Linked DNA regions of Diceros bicornis minor. The protein of the gene in region 2 interacts with the protein of the main gene of each other region in a biochemical or structural test. Links are inferred from orthologs where the notes say so. Each region holds a gene or a part of one and is shown on either strand. Other genes may lie near its edges. The genes, in order: PIAS1 and SATB1.

Region 1 (10,873 bases), on a different chromosome or scaffold from region 2:
TTGGATGTATAACAGTTTGTTTAGCCATTTATCCATTAAAGGAGATGTGGATAGTTTCCAGTTTGGGGCTCTTATAAATAAAGCTGTTATGAACATTCTTGTTCAACCTCTAGTGTGAAAATAAGTCTTCAGTTATCTGGGATTAATGTCCAAGGATGCAACTGTTGAGTTGTACGGTAAGCACATTTTCAGTTTTCAAGGGAACTGCCCACTATTTTCCAAAGTGGCTAAACCATTCCTACCAATAATATATGTGTGATCCATATCTAAGAAAGCTATGCCTAACCCCAGGTCATGGAAATTTACTCCTAAGTTTTCTTGTAAGTGTTTTATAGTTTTAACTCATATTTAGGTCTATGATTCATTTTGAGTTAATTTTTATGTGTTGGGTGAAGACCACAATAGTTTTAGGGTCCCACAAAAATGCTTTAAATCTTTAAAACCATAAGAAAAAAATAAGTATACTTGCTTGGATTACATTAGTCTTTATACTAATGTAGTTGTAAAACATAATTTTTAATATTTTTTTATGGAAGAAGAGGCCTCTGAGATTCCTTCTGACACCAAATACGTGTTGTCTTTTCATACCAATTCTCCAGCACCAACTGGATATCCAACAAGTCAATTTTGACAGTAACTCCAGGAGTAAGTTCAGACCCCCTAAGTTAAGGGCTCAGTCCCACAAGACTACCTCTACTTCAGATACCAGTCACCAGGCCCATGGGTCACTTGTACTTCTGACTGACCAAATTTGAGGATTCCTACAATCCCTTCCTCAGGTACGATAATTCATTGGAATGACTCACAGAACTCAGGAAAACACTTTACTTATGTTTGCTGGTTTATTATAAAAGAAACAACTCAGGAACAGTCAAATGGAAGAGATGCATAGGGCACAATACGGGGTCCGGGAGTGGGGGTGGGGGAGGGGATGCAGAGCTTCCATGTTCTCTCTGGCACTCCCCTCCCAGGACTTCCCTGTTTTCACTGACATCCCTTTAATCACGTTTGGTCTTTCTAGTGACCAGGCCCCATCCTGAAGCTATCTAGGAGCCCCACCCTGAGTCACTCCATTAGCATAAACTCAGCTGTGGTGGAAAGGGACTCATTATGAATAACAAAAGACAGTCCTACCACTCAGGAAATTTCAAGGATTTTAGGAGCTCTGTGCCAAGAACCAGGGACAAAGTCAAATCATGTTTTCTATTATACCAAAGTCCCTAGAAGGCAAAAGTGCCTAGGGCCACAAAAGTCATAATGTGATCCTATCAATTAAATAGCTTTCCCAGCAGTCCAGTTGTGAAATTATGGCAGCTTGGGGTAGGGTGATGGCAGTCGAGATCCAGTGAAATGGACAGGCTTGGGATATGTTTTAGAGGCAGAGGACTGGCTGATGGATTGGACGAGAGAGGTGAATGAAAGAGAGGAACCAAGGATGATTTCCAGATTTTTGGCTTGAACAACTGGATGAATGATGGTACCATCCACTGGGAACACTGGGAAAGGAGCAGGATTAGGGGGGAAATCAAGGCTGTCTTTGACACGATGAGTTTGAGATGACTATGAGTCATGAAGTAGAGATATTAAGTAGCCATTGGATTTATGAATCTGAGTTGTGGTGGAGATAGATGTCTGGGCTGGATGGAAATTTGAAAGTCATCAGTTTATAGACTTAAAGTCAAGGAGTTGGATGAAATCACCTGGGGAGAATAAAATAGAGAATAGGGTAAGGACTGAGCCCTGGAGCACTGAAACATTTAAAAACTGAGCCAAAGAGGAGAAATCAGCAAAGGATTTTGAAAAGGAGGCCCAGCGAGGGGACAGGAAAATCAGGACAGTGAGATGTTGAGGGAAGTTCAGGGAAAAAAGTGTTTTAAGAGAAAGGATGCTTGTCAGTTCTGCTGAGAGTTTAGTTTAGATAATAGAGAACTGGCAATTGGCTTTGGAAACATGGAGATCAACAGTAATCTTGATAAGTGATCAAGAGGGAAGTCATAGCATCAGAGTAGGCTGAGAAGTGAATGAAGTGAGGAAGGGAACAAGCACTGTAGAGAGATCTTGAAAAACCTTTCTGAGAATTCATGCAGTGAAGAGGGCAGAGAGATAGGGAGTTCTGGAGGCGATTTTGAAGTCAAGGGAGGTTTGTTTCAGATGGGAGGAATTACAGTATGTTTATATACTGATAGGAGTAATCTAATAGAGAAGGGAGAAAGCAATGGTGCTGGATGGTGAGGTAATTGTAGGAGTAAAATCCTTAGGAATGTGGGAGGCAAAGGAATCCAGGTCACTGGTGGAGGGACTGACCTTCACAGGCACAAGGACACTTCATTCATAGTAACTCAAATGTTACTACGCCAATAAGAGTAGTTTTGACGGTGAGAAGATAAGGGAGTTCATGTTATCTGTTATCTTTTAATTTTTTCCATGAGATATGAGGCAAAGTTGAGGAGCAAAAAGTGGGGTTGGAGAGGAGATAGGAGGCTTTTAGTAGAGAGGAAAAGGTGTCAAATAATTCTTTCATCACGTCTACTTAAATGTCAATTTAGAGGCGAAAGCTCTCTCAGGATTAAGTACATCTCCTCCCAGCCCCTTTTTCTCTCACTGGACGGTTCATGCTTTTCAGGTACTCATCATCCTTTGTAACTGTATCTTTATAGGTTCGCGTGTCTGTTCCCCCATTACAGAACTACAGGAGGGCAAGGACTTGGTTGTATTTAGTTTCCCAGTGTATATATAGCCCTTAGAAACAGGGCCGGTACAAAGTCACTAAATAATTACTTGAAACAAAGAAATTAATGAATGAAAGTTTTCAGAATTTTGTCTTAGGCCACTCGTGTTAAGTACTTGCTTGTGCAAGTCACTTTTCCTCTCTGAGCTTTATTCCTGAATATATACCACGGGAACAGTAGTCTCTTCCCTGCCTACCTCACCGCGTTGTCATGAGGAGGATCTGAGCTAATAAACCTGGAAATACTTCATCAAGTGATTCTTAAATGTAACTGATTGTTATTTTTAGCCCACGTGTAGCCTCGCAGGTAGCAGGTGCTGAAAAGGACTTGCTGATTGGGGGAGGGCGTATTATTGTTCCCTGTGCCTGCGGAGGGGCGGGGCTCAGGCCAGCAGCCCTCCCGCTCCGGCCTTTCCCTGGAGGCGCTAGCCGGGCGAGGATGGGGGGCGGGGAGGCCTAGGAGGGAGTAACTGTCAAATCTCTCCGCTTGGCGCCATTATTTAAATAGTACGTGTCCGTGTCGCAGCTGTACGTGCCCAGGGCGGGGCTCCGAGCGCCCGGAGCGAGGCGGAGGCCGGGGGCGGGCCGAGGAGGCGGAGGGGCGAGAGGGGACGGGCCGGGGCGGGGCCAGGCTGGCTAGAGGGGCGGGTCTAGCGGCGGCCCCCGGCGAGGTTCACTGCGCTTGCGCTGACAGACGCAAGATGGCGGACAGTGCGGAACTAAAGGTAAAGCGCAGCTCGAATTCACTTCTAATATTCGGCCGCGGAGACGGCGCCGCTGGTGCCGAGGGGGATGGGTCCGACCCTGGGGGGCCGCTCGGGCTTGACTCCATCCAGGCCTGGAGTTGTAGGGCGGAGCGGCGCGCCCGGCCCCAGCTGAGGGGGCCCGGCAGCGGCGGGCCGCGGGCCCCGGGTGCCTCGGGGGCGCTGACGGGTCGTCCCCGGCGTGTTATTGTTGTGGGCGCCTCTGGCGGGGGAGGCGGGGGAAGAGATCGCCAGTGGGGAGGTGGGGGCCGCGGCCGCCCCCGGGTCTCGGCGTGCTCACCTTCTAGGCAGCCTCCCCGCCCCCCCATGGGGAGCGGGGGCTAGGGCAGGGTGTTCGTGTCGGGGGGATTGGGAAAGCTCCCCGCCGCCGCTTCCTCTTCCTCCTTTGCAGTCCCGGGCTCCTGTCAGGCGCTCGGCTCAGACCCCCGGGAACTTGGCTCCGGCCGCCCCGCCCCTCCGTGGCTCCCTGCGGCCCCCGCCCCGGACTCGGCTCTCCCCGGCTGCCTGCCTGTCAGGAGGCGCCCGGGGTGCCCCGCTTGTGCGCAGCGCGATCCTGGGGCGATGGGGTGGGGATGTGAAGAGAAGCTCCGGGAAAGTTTAGTGAGCCTCGGGCCGGCGTTGGGGTTCGGCTGAGGGGTAGCGGGGGGGTGTGCCTGGGCGGGACGTTACTATTTCTCTCTGATTCTTGGTAAGCGGGGGGTAGAAACCCCCTCGAAGGGTGTGTGTTGGGAAGCAGTGGTGGGTGGTGGGAAGCACCTACCTCTCTCCTCTTTTCCTTCTCTTCCTTTGGCTGGTGCGGAGGGTAAGAGGAGCCTGTCGGGGTCTCTGCACACACCATGATGGCGATGCTGTAGCTGATGGAGGTGAATGGTTCGTGTTTATATCCCCCCGTTGCCTTTTGTTTGTGGGGACATCTTGCTGGCCATGTTGATTTGAACGAAATTCTCCCGTCATCCTACTTCAACCCCCAATAAATAGAACGTTCCTCCGTTCCTCTCAACTGTGCCAATTACTCACGCCTCGCGAAATTGGATGAAAGGGTGCCCCCTTTTCCCCGCTCATCCTCCCGCCCCAATCTTCTTTACCTGATGATGGCTTCTTTACCGAGGCAGATATAGCACTACACAAGCAGTTGGGGGAGGAGGGTGGAACCCTTGTGATTGGATTGTGACAAATGGGGCTCCGCTTGAATAATTTTGGTTTAGTAGCAAGCAGTTTTTAACTAACGCGTATTATTTCGAGGCTCTGAATGCGATATTCCCTACTCTGTGGCTTCCTGTGTGTGATCCAAGCAGCTGGTTGTGTCCTGACCCAGAGAACTGACATCTCTGTCAGAGTGGAGATTGGGATATACAGTTGTAAATCTTCGGGGAGAGTCCTCTTTTTATAATTAATAAAAATTGTGTAAAAAATTTTCTCCGTTATAATGAAGCGACAACTTCTAGAATAACCAAACGCCAGGTTTGTTTCTGGAGAGTTTTTCTGTGGAAAGCGTCGCTGAAAGATCGTTTTCCCCCAGTAATTTTGCAATTTTAACACTCCACAATTTGTATATTAAGGCGCTGGCTTTGAGTGTCGTTCTTTTTAAATTTACTGCTAATTACAAATAAATTTAAGGGAGAGCAGATTTAGGATGGTTGGTTTCGTTTTTTCCTGTTTCAAACTAGTGACCGAAGTGAAAAAGCCTCAAGAATTTGAATATTGGCAGGTAATTAACTCTTGAAATAAAAAAGTCCACAACTTTAAGATACATGTTTTCTATAGTTTTATTCTTGAAATGTAGTCCCTATGTGGCTGTAATCTTTGCCTTCTAATATTTATTTTGTTAGGCATCCTTTTGAATGATAGGTAATCAGTTCTGTTATACGGGGACCACAGAGTAAAGCTGAAAAGCTTGTGCTGGCTATATTGTCACTCTTGATGCTGTCCAAAGAAACTGATGTGGAAAGCACATGCTGGGAGATTTCTTCCTTTGTTCTTTCTCATTTTAAGAAAGTGCCTTTAGGGATAGATCAGATCCCTGGTGTGAGTCTTGTTAGGTAAAGTTTCTGTTTGCTAAAATGAGCCTGTATCAGATAAACGCTAAGAACTTGGGGGAAAGATTATTTTTCTAAAATTGGTCTCCTTTTTTGCTCTTTCCAAAATCTACTTGAGTTTTTCCAGAGGAGTTGTTTTCTACTTTTATGTTCCTGTTGTACATTTTTTTCAAATTATAATAACTGTTTTGACATTCAGGTCTGTCATTGTGTGTGCCCAGTACTTTGAGGAGGTGTGATAAATTGCTTAGCTGGTGATAGCTGTGTTAAAATTTTTGTTAATACTTGATTGTGGTTAGATTTGCTGTTCTTTTTTTTGGAGTGGGGAGATCATCTTAGGAACCCCTACCTTAGTTATTTGAGAATGTGTGTATATAATTTTCTGTGCAGTAAGCTTTGGAAGATACTGCTTTTGGAAATTGTATTTTCTGGTGGTTTTTTGTTTGTGGTTTTTGGAGGTAAATAGCATTTATTCCTAATAAGGTAGGAAAAGAGTAAGAATTAAGAAAAACCCAGATTTTTTTAAAGTTTTAGGTGAAAATACGGTACTTCCAATGAATTTCCAACTATGAGGCTTTGAATAAATACATTGACTTTTTTGGTATCTTAATTCACAACCCATGTTTCATTTTGCTGTGGATTGTATTCATAATTATTTTCCTCATGGTCCATTTTTGAGTCCTTGTAAATCTATAACAAATCTGCAAAGATCAGATGGGAAAATGGATAGATCTGTATCCCCTGTAGTATTAGTGCAAGCTGCAACACTTAAAGATATTGCCAATAAAAATTAGATTAAGAGTCATGCATATCAAAAAGAGTTCTCGGTGTATATTTGTTTATATACCCATAAATGACATTTGTAAGAATGTAGAGAGTGAACTTTTTGTTATGTTTAGGAATTTAAAAGCAGGAGGGTGTGATGACCAGATGATCTTGGAAGTTAATAATCTGACAGCTTCATGTAGCTCCTCTTAAAGTACTTTTTTAAAAAAAAATCACAAATGTTTTTTGCTTTAAAACTCAAAGCAAGTTGTATTGCCATTTTAACTCACAGGAGGAAGAGTGGGAAGGAAGAAGTTCTTCATTTCAGTGGAGCAAATAATGGATTTCAATGGGAAGAGAAACCGCTTAAAAGTATAGTTTTAAAAGTATCTATAAGCGTGTCAGTAAATTCTGTTGTCATATTCTGCCTCTTTATTTTCAAGAAATAGCCACTTAATTTTGCTCTTTGTGGTGTCATTGTTTGCTTTTATTTCAGATAGAAGCAAGTAAATCTGACAATTTATTCACAAATTTGATTTGAATCTCCATAACTTGCTTTTGTCAAGTGCCACATTTAGATGGCTTTTGTTTTAAGTCACCATTCTTATGAACAGTATTTGAAAACATTGTATAAAACACAGTTTTTAAGCATTTCATATAATTGTTTGGAAATTCCGCCTTTTCCTCCGCCGTTTTCTCTGGCTGATTGTATTGTCTTTCTCTTCAAAGAGTCTCTTGTAATCCCTGTTGATTGCGGTAGTGCTGAGTGGTGAGGCCATAGCTGATTAACCTTGGGTTTCTCCTGGTGAACTCCATCAGCATGCTGCTCCAGGGTTCTTGCTGAGAGTTTTGAGTTTAGTGTAATTTGTGCCCTTTCTTGCTGGTAACTAGGGATAAGAAAATAAAATGGCTCGTGGTTGTAGGGGGAACTGAGAGGAAGTATCTCAAGTTTCTGAAAAACTGGGTGTTTATGATGAATGTAGCCTTTAAAAACAAACAAAACTCCTGATTACTTCATAGGATTGATTGTAGTGTTTTCTGAAGTATTCTGTGGCATTAAGCACCTTGTTATTTCTTTTTTTAATATTTGAGTAATATTTATACAGTACTTGACAGTTCATAGTCTATCACATTATCTCATTTGGTCTTCCTAACAGTTCTTTGAGGTATAAAAGGCAGGTAATATCTCCCTTTTTATCCATGCAGTGAGCCCAGAAAGGGTAAGTGACTTGTCCAAGGTCATATAAATAAAAGTGGCAGAGACTTAAACCTAGGTCTTGTGATTTCAAAACTTTGTACTGTAGGCTGCCTTAAAGGTGCCCTGTCAGTCCTGGAGCTCTCTAGGGTGCCTTGCTCACAAAGAATTCTAGTTATGTTGTTGCTAATACTTTCCCTCTTGCTCTATGCCAGGGTATTTTTGGATATTCCTTGGGCTTTTTGCAAGGAAGATTTTGGAGTTTGTTAGTTGGAATCATAGACATTAATTCATGCAAATATAATTTTGCTTGGGAAGATTTCAGAGAATACTGAGAAGTAAGCAGAAAAATAAACAGCACCTGTAATCCCAGCATTTAGAAATCTCATGGTTAACATCTGGGTGTCTGTCCATTTAGACTGTCTCTCTGTGAGCATCTCTCTGTGAGCATACGTGTATGTATGTTCATCACAAAAAGGGATCATACTACTCTTTATTTGTAATCTGCTATTTTCTTGGCTGCCTTTCCAGGTAGTAAATATAGGTCTATATGATCATTTGAAAGGTAACATTGTATTTTATTCAACTAGTCTCTTGTCATTGAACAACTAGATGATTTCCACTTTTTTGCTATTTTAAACAGTTTCTTGACAAACAGCCTGATACAAAAGTTAGCAAATGTTTTATTCTAACTAAATATATTGATATGACAGAACTTTTTTTGTGCTTCAGAGAGCAATACAAATGGTATTTTGATTACATGAAGTGTTGTGAGTGAAATAAGTTAATTCTTTATTTCTTCATTGTCTATACCTTTATTGTTTCAGTTTCTATAAACCTGTCAGATAAGATTATTGAATTATGGCAGAGATAGAGTTTATAAAATGTAAGTAAACATTGCTTCTGAATCAGAACATTTGATAAAGTATGAAATATATTATAGAATAACATGTATAATTTATATTGAGTATGTTTGATTTTGGAAATTATAACACAGTAACAAATATTGCAAGTTTATGTGCTCATCTGTTTTTAATTAGCGTTAAGAAAAAAGCATTGCTGAATGTTAATATGAAGAAAGTGGATATGAGAATTTGCCTTACTCAGATTTTTAATCTCAAAGCAAAGTGTTGCCATAGTATTTGGTAGGTAACATTGTTTCGAGGAGGCTTTTATAGAATGGAGGTTACATAGGCAATGAAAACATTCTTCTATTTCAAGAAGGAAGCTTTATGGATTAAATCAATTAATAAATGCATATGTGAATTGAGTTAAGGATATTATTTGTGCAGCATCTGAAAAGTACTGCACTGTAGAAGGAACAGTTGATGAAATTAAGGGTGTGACATTGACATGTTAAATTTGGTCCTCACCTACACTTGCATTTATGGAACAAATTGTATCATTAGGATTTTTTTTTTTTTTAGAACACAGTTTGTATATTTATTTATTGTCTTTTTTTTTTTTTTTTTTGGAGAAAGATTGTTGCTGAGCTAATGTCTGTGCCAGTCTTCCTCTATTTTGTATATGGGTTGCCACCGTAGCATGGCTTGACGAATGGTGTAGGTCCACGCCCAGGATTCAAACTGGTGAACCCTGGGCTACCGAAGCAGAGCATGCAGACTTAACCGCTATGCCACCGGGCTGGCCCCATTAGGATTTTTTTTGAAATAGGGGATAGAGAAATTTTAAAGAATTTAGCTGGCCTTTACTGTCAATTTCAGGAGTAGTACTAATTGCCGTGCAATTTTGCTACTCTCACTGCAAGACGTTTGTGACTATACTTTCCCTTCCATGTTAAAAATTATGGAACTCCTATTACTTTTGATTCCCTCTCCTCTTGGTTTCAGTGGTGTCACATGAAAAGATAACTCCCCAAACCCCTCTTCCCCTCAGAATTTTCTGGTAAATCTTCATTCTTTGCATGAACTTCTAAAATTCATCAAAATGAAAAAACCACCTTCTTTTCTTTTCTACTTCACCTTAGATCAAGCAAACAAAACAAACATAAACCCTTTGAACATTAACTAGTAATTTTGAAATATCAATAACTCTCACAGGACTGTTGCAAATGTTCCTATTTTTTAAAAACTTCATCTCTTCCTTACCTTTCCTGCTATTCTTCTCTGCTTTCAATTTCCCCCCTTTGGTTGCCAGGTTAATTTTCCTAAAACATTCTTTTCATCCTGTCACTCCAATGGCTTTCCATCAAAAACAGGATAAAGTCTTAGCTCTTAGTTTGGTATTCAGGATTTTCTATAGTCTAACCCCAGTCTACTTTGTGTGTGTGTTTTGTCTCCTCCACTATACATATAGCAAAAGTCCTTAACTAAAACCAGAGCTGTTAGTTTCCTTCTTTCGGTTGACTAGTGTTCTGCTTTGTACACCACTCCATTCTCCCCCGTCCCTACCCTGTGGATACAGTAGGTGCTTAAGATATATTTGTCAAATGAACAGATTACGTTCAGGGTTTGTTTCTCTTAGTGAAGGGCAGGTGCACATGTCTATATGACAGTCTAAATTGTAAATGTTCTGAGATAAGGTCATATCCTCACACTTTTTTTCATGGCTGCTTCTTAGATAAACTTGAATAATATTAAATCCAGGATAATTTATGAAAGACTGTTTTAGGTTTACCTTTTACATTTCTTTAAGTTATATAGATAATAAATGAATACATTTCTTATTGGAATGATATAGCAGTAGGTAGAGTAAAATTTTAAAGGCCTTCATCATCTTCATCCCCTCCCCCCCCAGGCAAACACTTTGGTATCTTTTTTTGGGGGGGGCAGCATTACAGCTTTATTGAGATATAATTTACATCACATACATTTAAAATGCACAATAAAATGGTTTTTAATATATTCACAAAGTTGTGCAACCATTACCACGACAATTTTACAATATTTTTCTTACCCCAAAAAGAAATCCTGCACCCTTCAGCTTTCACTCCCTTTGCCCACAGCTCCACCCCATCCTCAGGCAACTGTTAATCTACTTTCTGTCTCTGTAGGTTTGCCTGTTTTGGACGTTTCATATAAATGGAATCATATAATATGTAGCCTAGTGTGTCTGACCTATTCATTTTTCTATTTGTGGTTATCAGTTAGGTATATCTGTATAATATTTGTAATTTTTTGTACGTGTATGTCTAGATTCAGAACAAACTAGGTACATAGAAGGAACTCAATAAGTATTTATTAAATGAATGTACATGTACGTAAGTATATTTTCTAAAAACAGAAGTGGGATCATACTATACGTAGTATTCTTTGACTTGCTTTTTTCATTTAACAGTATATATTGGAGATCTTTCCATGACATGTCCCAAAATGAGATGGTCTCATTCTTTTTTAACAGTGCAAATATCTCATATGTATGTTCG
Region 2 (10,687 bases):
ATGCTGAGGCCACGTCCCACATTCAGCAACTAGAAGAATGTGCAACTACGACATACAACTATCTACTGGGGCTTTGGGGAGAAAAAGGAGAAAAAAAAGGAGGAGGATTGGCAATAGATGTTAGCTCAGGGCTGATCTTCCTCACACAAAAAAAAATTGAAAAATTAAACATCGTTAAGACAGTCTTAGGCACATATATATGGGATAGACTGAGCTATAATATACTCTGAAGGGTAGTAATAAAGAGTTTGGCTTTCACTAGAAAGCCTATACAAATGGGTCTATTGTAGTCTACTCTACAGAGCCTGAGAGTACAGGGTTTCAGGGCCTGGTACAACACCCATCCGTTAGCCAGCATTCCTTATAATGTGGCAGGATCAGTAAGCTGAGTCCTTGACAATAGATATTCTGATGCTGTGCTGATCTTTGTGTCCTGCACTGAATGATTTATGCAATTTTAAAAACCAATAATATTTATCATAGACAGGTACAGAAAAATTATATATGATCAATATCAGATCATTGTACTCTTGAAAAATAAACAGTCTAGCAAAGGAAGTATACGGCATAAGGAGCACTTGAAAAATGTGCTCTTCTTCTAAAACTTTAGCTTTCTTCTCCTTCATTCATTAGCTCTCCAAATATTTATCGGGCTCCTTCTACATACATGGAAAACTGTATCCTATAAAATGGGCAGTGTTATAAAGGGCTTTGCATCATCCCTCAAATGGTTACAGAGTACCAACTATGGCCTCCCAGGCTCCAGACTTTTCCTGTCCACTTTGCCACCAGAGTGATCTTTCTAAAGAGATTTGATGGTTATGCCCATCCTTACAACCTTTACTGACTCCTTATCTCATACATGAGACTCCTCATGTCTCATGTAGCAGATAGTGACTAGTGGTCCTTAATCTGATTTTGACCTCTAGACATGTTTCCCTCCTACACACAAGTACTTTAAAATGTGAATAAGTTCTCAACATTTAATATTTCCATTTTTCATATAAACTGAATTTGCAGCTTCTCTTTAAAAACTTGAAGATCCAACATTCGGCATCATTGGCATTGAGTATCCCATTTAGACAGAGAATATACTCTCCAGGTTGTCCCAGTCCCCACCACTGCTTATGGTCTCAACTTGGTCTGCTTTGCTCACATATCCAAGGTAGACATAAGAGTTTGCAATCCCCGATGGAGGGGATAACGTCTAAACTCTGGAGCAAGTCTACAAGGTTCTTCACAATGTGGAGCTCTCTGGTCTCATCCTTTGCAAAGACCTCATGTTCCAGCCACACTGAAATTCTTGTAGTCCTCTAAACAACAAGCTTTGTCCTCCTCAATGCCTCTATTCATGCTGGTTTCTCTGCTTGAAATATCCTCCCTCCATCTTCCTTTTCTGTCTAGAGGAGTCTCACTTATCCTCAAGAGTTAGTTCAATTCCTCTATGGAACTCTCCTAAATCCTACCAGAGTTACTTGCTTCTTCCCAAGTGTTTCCATAGCACTTTGTGCCTTTATTAGAATTGCAATGACTTTTTCTTTCTGTCTGCCCAATCATAAAATGTGTTTCTTGCAGAGGAGAACTCTTAATCATCTCCACTCTATTAAGGAGTGCCTGGCTTCTTAATAGAGTGCCTGGCTTCTAGTAGGTACATGATGAATATTTATTGAATGAACAAAAAGTTGGATGAATGAATACTTCCAAAAGAATTTTTTATTTGTGTTATAAGATTTTGACACTTAAAATAAGGGAAGTAACTACTCAAACCAAATTTCAAATTTTGATAATGATCATGACATCTTCAGATAATAGTTCTTGAAAGTTCCTGTTCATTGTACCCTTTCCAGAAAACAAGTAAATATACAAAGAGTAACTTAAAATTGATAGGGTGCCACACTTTAGGGGGAGAGAGCTGGGACTGCAGTGCTGTATTCAAAGAGAGAGTAGGTGGTGAAAGAAGCCACTTTGTGACTACTTTCTCCCTCTCTTATAGGGAGATAACGCTATATCTCCCTATAAGCTGGTGGCCCCTCAGGCAGTGTTTACCCTGAAGAATGGGACATTTGGGGCACAAAGCGGCAGGAAGAGATCCTGTAGCTGGAGGCTATCATGTGGACAAGGGTCACTACGAGTATGGTAGTCCTTAGAGCTGTGCACCACAGGTCTCTACTTTTGGGCACAAGGTAGGCTGCACCATCTGGCCTCGTTGTGACGATTCCATGGAGCCAGGCAACTAGTCCTGGCCAATTAGTTGTGAGCCCAAATGATGCATGTCACTTCTGCCCACAGCATTTAAATGCCAGCATGAGACCCACAGAGTGATCTTTATTTTTGCCATAGCAACATAAAACATTCAAGATGGCAACTGTTTCATCAGCCTAGGACCCTGAATATGGAGACATGGGACAGACCAGGTGACCTGCAATGTACTCATAGCATGACCAGGAAAACAACTTTTGCTGTTACAGGCCACTAAAAATCGGAATTGTTTGTCACTTTGGCATAACATAGTCTATTCTGACTAATACAACAGATTTCCTCTGTTTTGCTGCAAACGGCAGAACTAAGACTGGTGGTCAAAAGTTTCAGAAAGACCAGTTCTGTGCAATTTAAGAAAAAAGGTAATACAGTGTACAAAGATGGAATGAACTACTTAGGATCTTACTCATTCATTCCCACAATGCACATCGAACTCTACTCTGTGCTAAGTATTCTGTAGATAAAATCCCTGCCTTTATGGAGGGAAGTGGTGAGTTCTCCTTCACCCAAGATGTTTGCACTGACGGCCCCTAAAAGGTTTGACGGGACAAATTAACTTTAAAAATACCCTCCAACCTGGAGCTTCAGCATGTCTATTTCCTCTGGTCTAAAAGAGAAAAAAAATCTATTTCCTCAAGTATTCCTTTGATTCAAATCATTTACTGATCCATTGAGTTGTCTTTTCACATTTTAATGTCATTTTTCCAGCAAATAAGTGCCTTAAAGTCCAATGCTGTTTTATCCTTCCTCTATATCTTTCTTATCCTATTTAGTAGGCAATACTTTATTGTCTATTCTCCTAGGAAAATAATCAGCTTTTGACACTAGCTATTATTAGTGACCATCTGATATGTTTCCGGTTTACTTGTCTTTAGTAAGTTAGATTCCGACTTGTTAAAAAAATCTAGGTGCACAAATGTATTACCCTAATAACTTTCCGGCAAAGTGCCTTTTTCTTCTGAAAGAAGCCCTAGCCCTGTACTATTGAATTTGTGGCCAATTACAATATTTCATTAACATCTTAATTCAGTAAGTATTTAATGTATTCCTACTATGCGCCAGGGGGCAACGTTTACATAAGAGTTTATCAAGATATGTTACTTAATGTACTGTACCCACCATTACACAATTCTGTATTATAATAGAACCTATGAGTTCTCTGTATAAGACCAGTTAGGGGGGAAAAAAGCAAATTCAAAAGGTTGGGGCAAAATGTTCCCTTGATTTAATGCAGGGGAACATATCACACCTTAAATTCTAGGGGCTTAGTTGATAACTTGGGGGAGTAGAAGAGTATGTAAGAGTGTGTAAGGGAGAAAAAATAATTCTTTTTCTGTATTTCAATTTTTATTAAGCTTCATTTCAGGCTTTCAGAATTGGAGAATCAGCTGCCTGCTACAAGAAATTGCTAATAAGCAGTAGTAATTAAAGACTGAGAATTTATTCTTTCTGTTCCAAACCTGATGTCATCCCCAGATGGAGATATTGGTACTGGTTAGGCAATTCAGCATTTTGGTAAATTAAGGCAGGAGGATTTGGTGTCTCCTGGGTGGTGTGGAGGCAGAAAGTGTTCCAGTAAGAAAAATTTGTGTTTCATTTTCTTTGCCCATTGCAATCATTTATACTTTTTTCCTTTGCCTTATAGAACCAGGAGTTGAGGTGGGCACTTAAGTCTTAAAAATCAGGGCTAGTACTCTAAAAACACTAACTCACAAACTTCTTATATTCTTATGTCTTTGGAATTGTTGTCTCTGCATAAATGACAATCAACTGAAAAAGACGGATAAATTCCAGCAAATTCAATACTGATTGATAGAAAAGAACTGGCATGTCAGAAAGCAGCATGACTACACTGTGCTACTCTCCTTTATTTAGAAAAACCGCACAAAAATACAGCACAGTTGATGTGTTTGTTACCAGAACTTGAAAGTAGAATCAGCCACTGTGTAAAAGATAAAATAAGACTGCACGGATAACAGGATTTTCCCAGCATGCTGTACTTTGTTCATAGACATCTGATAGAAGAGGACCTAACAGAGCTTTTAGGAAAAACTGAATTCTCAGCCCACAGTCACTTTCCAGGAACTTCACTGCAAACAGTACTCTGCGCTGGCGGGATGGAGATCTTAGCAATCTCACTCCTGCTTCCATAGTTTCCTTCTCTCTAAATACAATTCTTTATGGGGACTTAATGAGAGAGCAAGCTTTGTGTGAAAGGAACTCAAGAAAGTGCAGCTTCTAAAAATATACCGAGGCGGCTCTACAGTCCTTATTATTACTGAGGTTTTGCCGTTCATGCCATGAACCTAACAACTCCACACACACACAAAGAAAAAAAGTAATGACTATGTTTTTTCTTTCTGCAATCCCCTAAACTTTGAGTAAACAGTAGTAATTTTCTGTTGTCATACTCAATGCAAATTTCCTTAAAACGACACAACACATAACAAAAGACCTGTTAGCAACCTTAGAGCTGGGGGAAGAATGGTAGGAGGAGAGGGGCAAAATTGACCTAGGTCCAGCTTCTCCTGAGCCTGGGGTGCTGACCCTCCAGTCACTCTGATCTTGCAGACGTTTTTGGAGTTTCAGTCTCCTTTTGGGAAGGTTCCCAGGCCCCTTCTCCTCTGCAAGTCCCCCAATCATTAAATCCTTATCTCTCGCCGTCTCTGCTTCCAGGTTTTTGGAGAAATTGGACCTCAGCTTAGGCGTCTTTTTTCCAGTGGGTTGAAGTACAGCTGCTGATGGGAGGATAAATATTAAATGGGCAGGGGTGCGGCGTGAGGGTCTGCAAGAGGGCCCCCTCCTCCTTCCGCCACGTTGGGATGCAGCGCTCCTGGATGGGGCGCTGAGAGGGGCGAGGGTGGGGTGAAAGGACATGGACAAGGCAGGCTGTAAGGGAAGGAGGCCCTCTAGGAAAGATCATCTCGGCTGAACATGACAAGAGAAAAAAATTGGCCCACATGCCCCTAGTGGGGAGCGATACATCCCACGCAGGCTGGTTGGGGGGGGCTGCATCGGGGCTTCTCACCTGACTTCCTCCTCCGCTGGCACACACACTACAATCACCACTTCCCCCCCTCACCCCCCCCAAAAAAAAGCTCAGCCAAACAACCAACAACAAGAGGAAGCCGCAGGCGGCAAGAGGAGGGGTGCGCGCGGTGGGGGCCCCGGAGTGGTGAGGGGGCAGGGTGGCGAGCGTCGAGAACCGCGCCGCGCACCCCCAGGCGCACTCCCAGGCGCCCACACTTACCCCTGGCAGCTGAGGGTCCGGTCTTCGGCGCCAATCCCAGTGCGCGTCCCCCGCCCGCCCTCGTCTCTCCGGCCCGCCGCCCCCCACGCCCCGGCCGGCGCGCTGGGAGGGAGCCTGGGAGCGGCGCGCGGCAGCGGCGGCGGCTCGGGCTCGGCTCGGCTCGGGCTCCAGCGCGCCTAGTGGTGCCGCCGGCCGCCGAGGCTCCACCGCCAGGGGGAGAAGCCGGGGCGGGCGCTGGGGAGGCGGGTTGGGCCCTCGCCGCCCCTCCGGCCAGCCCGCGCCGCACAAGCTCCGAAGCGGCGGCGACGCGGGGTCCGCCGAGCCCCCGGGCGCAGCGTGCCCGGCCCGAGGAGCCGCGGCTGGATGCGCGCCCCGGGCGGCTGCGGGCTCCCGCGGGGGGCGCCCCGGCCGCTCCGGTGCGCCTCTAGACTGCGGGCGCGGCGACCGCCGAGCCGAGAGCAGCTCCCGCCGGCCCCTTCCCCCTCCCGCCCCCGCCGCCGCCCCCTCCCCCTCCCCCCTGTTAACATCTCCTCCCTCCCCCCCTTCTCTTCCTTCCCTCGGCCCCGCGCGCTCGCTCGCTCGCTCCTCGCCTCGCTCTCCCCTTTAAACGCCCACTTCGGATGGGGAAAGAAGACAACTTGAAGTCAAGTTGCAATTAACTTCCGCGGCAGCCGCAGCTCCGGCGGCGGCGGCACAAGAGGCAGAAGCCGCCGCCTCGGAAGTCCGACGCCGGCGCGCCCGCCCGGGGAGCCGTTCCTGGTCTCCGGCCCGCACTCGACAGCCACCGCCGCCCCCAACGCCCATGCCTGAGTGAGTTGTGCTCTTTTGCCTCTCTTTTCCGCCCCCCCACTCTTGCTTTTTATCTCTGTCTCTCTCTTTTTCCGGAATCGATCCAAACTTCTCTGTAGCACCCACCCCCGGCGCCCCTTGTTGGGGCGGCTCGGCTCTCCTCTCGTGGGCGCCCGGCGGCAGGGGTCTTCCGAGCCCCTTTCTCGCGCAGCCGGATCCCGGAGGGGTGGGCCGGCAGAGTGAGGAAGAGCACCCGAGATGGGAAACTTGAAGATGCCATTCGTTCTCTCTCAGGGTGTGGACACACTAACACACCTGCCCGACAGACCCTGGCTGAACAAACTCCTTCAGGTCATCAGTGTGACTCCTTTTGGAAGAGAAAAGGGGAGTGGAAAAGACCGAAGTCAGCAAACGGGAAAAGGGAGAGCCTCTCTGTGCTCCCCGGAGCCGGGCTGGCAGAAGGGTGCCCGCCGGAGTAGGCTGGGGGAGTGGAAACGTTCCCCCGCCGGATCGCGAGTGAGCTCAGCATCCTTCCTCGGTCCATCTCCGCCTTCCTCCGCCCCCCCACTGGCGCGGCTGGTTGGGAGCGGTGGTGGAGAGGGGCCTGGGAAGTTTGCGGCAACTTCTCCATCCTGGGAGGCACTCGGGCGCCGGGGCGCTCAAGTTGGAGCCGGGAGTTTGAAAGCCGCGGGACTCCGCGTTTCGAGCCCTCGCCGGCTGTAGTGAGGTCCAGAAGGGGTTCCTGGCGTGCTTGGAGGTTATGAGTTGGGCTGGAGGCGGGAAGAGGTGCTGCCCTCTTTGCAGGGACCGAAACATCACAGGTGCGGCCTCGGAGTCCACACCGTGTCTCCCTCCTGCAGTCCCGACCCGAGCGCGGCGGCCTTCTCCGAGCGCTCCACTGAGTCTCCCGGGGCGGCAGAGCGTGGGTTTGGGCAACCACGATGACAGGGACGAAGCAGGCAGGTGGCAGGTCCGGGGAGTGACACGCGTGTACCGGGGAAGGGCACTGAGCGGGACTCTTGGGATGACCTCAGGAGACGGAGAGGGGCTTAGGGCTCTAGCTAGAGGCTTTGGCCCGGACCTCCACCAGGGCGTTGCAAATTTCATTTACAAGTGCCAACCACAGGATCGCCTCTCTAAGTACCCTGGTTGGCAACTTTGACCTTTGCGCCCTTCCTCCGCGAACTTTCTCGGCGGCGTTCCGGATTTCCAGGCAAATGTTTTAAGACTTGGACTCCCATGATAGTAAAAGAGAAGGGAAAACAGAAAGACGTCTTATTCTCAGGAGAGAACCTTTCTGCCCTGGCTGGGGTTCCATGCTTGCGTTCCTGGAGGCCAGGGGACCTGACTTTCCCAAGAAGAGAAGGAGGGGGTAAGAATGAGTCAAACGCTACTGCTCAGTGTCAGGTTTGTCCTAAGTAGTCCCTGAATCTACAGTGTTTGTGCTGCTGATGGAGTAACTCATCCCGTTGAAACTTTATTGAAATTTACACCTTATCTAAAGTGGATTTTCCTGAGATGTCAGGAATGTAAGATTTATTCTATAGTCAAACGTAGCTGCAAAAAACCCGTACTTTAAGACGGAAGAAAGCCAAGGTTGAGGTGTTTGCTCTAAAAACCTTTAATCTGTTGTGTGGTACCAGTGCTACGATTTAGCAGCGGTCCTTTATTTCTATGCGTATTATTTTAGTAGAACAGTAGTACATTCATATACTGGCTGCTCCAGTCTGCTGGCAAACATTAGCATTCAAGCTTACATTTTTGACAAATGTGCAGACAGGAATAGCATGAATAGGCATCTTAAATATTAACAACCTAAGCATCTGTTGTGAAACAAATTTAATATATTTACTGTGTTTTTCTCACATTGTTAGAAAAGGTTATAATAAGTGCATAATTTCAACTTTAGTTAGCAGAAGTAACTGGCTGTATCTTTCACTACCTCTCCAAGTGTTTAACACAATCACCAGACATAAATACTTTAATTAACTTGGTTAGGCACATTATTAAATACACTTTAGACAATGTGCATACTATGTAAAATGGAACAGTAGCAAAATATGTATCCTATTTGTGCACATTTTAAATGACTATACATTTTGTAAATATACCAAGCATGTTTATTCTTCATCTCCATTTGACACTTATTACTTCATATTTTTTCTAATGGAAACAATATTTTAAATGTAGAGTTGTTCGGTCATATGTAATACATAATATGTAAACAGTAGCTATAAAATACAAAGCATTGTTAAATTTGAGTATGGCTACATGTAACGAGATTATACAAGAGAAATAAAAATCACTGCTCAATTTTGTATTCCTTTCTGAATAATGAATACAAATGATGGATGAAAAAACAACAAATAGGGATTTCCCTCCTAAAGTAACTAGTGCCTTAAAATGTGTGGGGGATGGGGGTGCGGGGCAAGGGGAAGGGGAAAAAAGAGATAGAGAAGACCTAAAGAACTTAGAAAAGTCTGAATAGTTATTTCCAGAATCAATGCATTCCTCATTTTCCCACAAGCTGAAATATGTAATAAATAATAGTGCTTTGTATATAAAAGTATTCAAAAGGAATGCCTTTTGTTCAGTTGTTGTAATAAATTAATATATTCTTTGGTTGATAATCTACAAAAGTAGTTCTTTTGTCTCACAGCATCTTAAACAAGAACAACAACAAAATGAATGTTGGTTGATTTCTGCAAGGAAGTCTGTTGCCAGCTATATGAACCTGCGATTGAATAAGATATGATATGCTGAGTGATGGTTAAGAAAGATTACATTAAGTTAGCAAAGACTGAAATATCTGGAGGAGATTTTCAATTATTTTTTCATGTGACAGGTTGTGGATTGTAAATTAGGCCTAAAAGTTCAGGTGACAGCCACCTGTTCCTCATTATTGTAAAAATCTTTTGGTTACAAACACTATTAAGCTAAACACAACATGGATATACAGCAGGGACTCTATAAAGCACTCTAGTGGTTTTTCATCTGCTCTGTAAATTTCCAGAAGGGCCATACATAGATATGCCCTTTACACAAACCATCATTTCGTCCAAGACGTGTCGTTTTGGATGACTCTAATATTGTATTAGTACTGGGATTGATGAAGTATGTAAAATAAATGCATATGACTGAATCAATCTTCAGACTGTCTAGACATGTTGTAGCTGAATGCAAACATATTTCTTAAACTCCTCTGTTTCCTTTATAATCCATTGATGACTTATCAGAATTTGTTCATATTTTAAATAGAAACCTCCCCAAATTACCTTTTATAGTTTTTAGATAAGGTGAGTTCCCATTTTAAATGACGCCATGAAATATTTTCCTTGGTACTTCTATATAAGGAGAAAATTAGTTGCTCTATACCGTCATAGCTTTGTGGTATATGGAAAATGGGAAGAAAACCACATTTTACATGAACGCTGTTAGGAATGGTATCATCATTTGATGTTCAAACTTGCCACTTCTCTCGGGAGAGTTCAGTAATATTTCTATTAGAGTTCAAGAGTGTGATTTGATTTTTATGAATGGTTTACCTTTAGGTATTTCAGAGAGCAGAATAAGCATACATATTGAACAGACCTGAGCAGCACAAGGTTGCAAAATATTAAAGGTGCCAGTTGCTTTTAATTAGCAAAGGAGGAGGATTTTGAGTAAATTCAGTAACTCAGATTATTAAATTCTATATTTAAATATGTTCTTTGTCTTTTGGTTTTGTAGAGTTTATGCTTCTTACATTAAGTATTCATTTTTAGCATTTATGATCAGATTACAGAACAGTCATTACTCTTGCTTTTCAAATTGATTTGGTTTTGAAACTCGGAAACTCTGGGATGATTTTATTGAATTGGTTTACATTTTGACAGAACAGAGTTAAGTTAATTAATAGATCAGGCACGAAAAATCATCCACGGTAGGGTGTATTTTCTGGTAAAATGAAAGTTATGTTTCAGCATGATGAGCATCAGGCTTCAGTAATCTGTTCCTCGTGTGGAATGAACACTTCCTACTTCGAGCTAGCAGGCACCTACTGTTTATTTACGCTGCATTAAGCTGACAGCTCAGCAATCAGAGGAAAAATATTACTTACCTTCCTGAAGTAAATACCAGTTTATAGGTTAGTGCACGTATTTATATTCCTGTCACCACTAAATAACGGCTCTGTCTCCATTTTAATATCTACCTGTACTATAATCCAGGGCTTCAGACTCTTCCTGGTTGGGGGTAGGGGTCGAGAGGAGTTTTTCTGATCATTTTCCAGTGGCAAAACTTTAAAGAAGAGTAATTTCATTTTATCATTTCTGTCATGTGAGAACCAGTTGAGAGAAATGTTAGGCACTTTTATTTTACATACCTCAACCATAACATCAAAACTCCAAA

The links.
Region 1: the proteins of SATB1 (region 2) and PIAS1 form a complex in vitro, tested with the Homo sapiens proteins (2 studies listed by BioGRID, with this or other methods). The link is inferred for Diceros bicornis minor from reciprocal best matches to the Homo sapiens genes SATB1 and PIAS1.

What each region holds. Positions count from the first base shown.
Region 1 is NC_080744.1:61,952,133-61,963,005, forward strand, and holds the start of PIAS1 (E3 SUMO-protein ligase PIAS1), read left to right. Parts: upstream 1-6,133; 5' UTR 6,134-6,632; coding exon 6,633-6,665; intron 6,666-10,873. UniProt on the Homo sapiens protein: Functions as an E3-type small ubiquitin-like modifier (SUMO) ligase, stabilizing the interaction between UBE2I and the substrate, and as a SUMO-tethering factor. Catalyzes sumoylation of various proteins, such as CEBPB, MRE11, MTA1, PTK2 and PML.
Region 2 is NC_080741.1:24,480,259-24,490,945, reverse strand, and holds the start of SATB1 (DNA-binding protein SATB1), read left to right. Parts: upstream 1-6,122; 5' UTR 6,123-6,319; intron 6,320-10,687. UniProt on the Homo sapiens protein: Crucial silencing factor contributing to the initiation of X inactivation mediated by Xist RNA that occurs during embryogenesis and in lymphoma.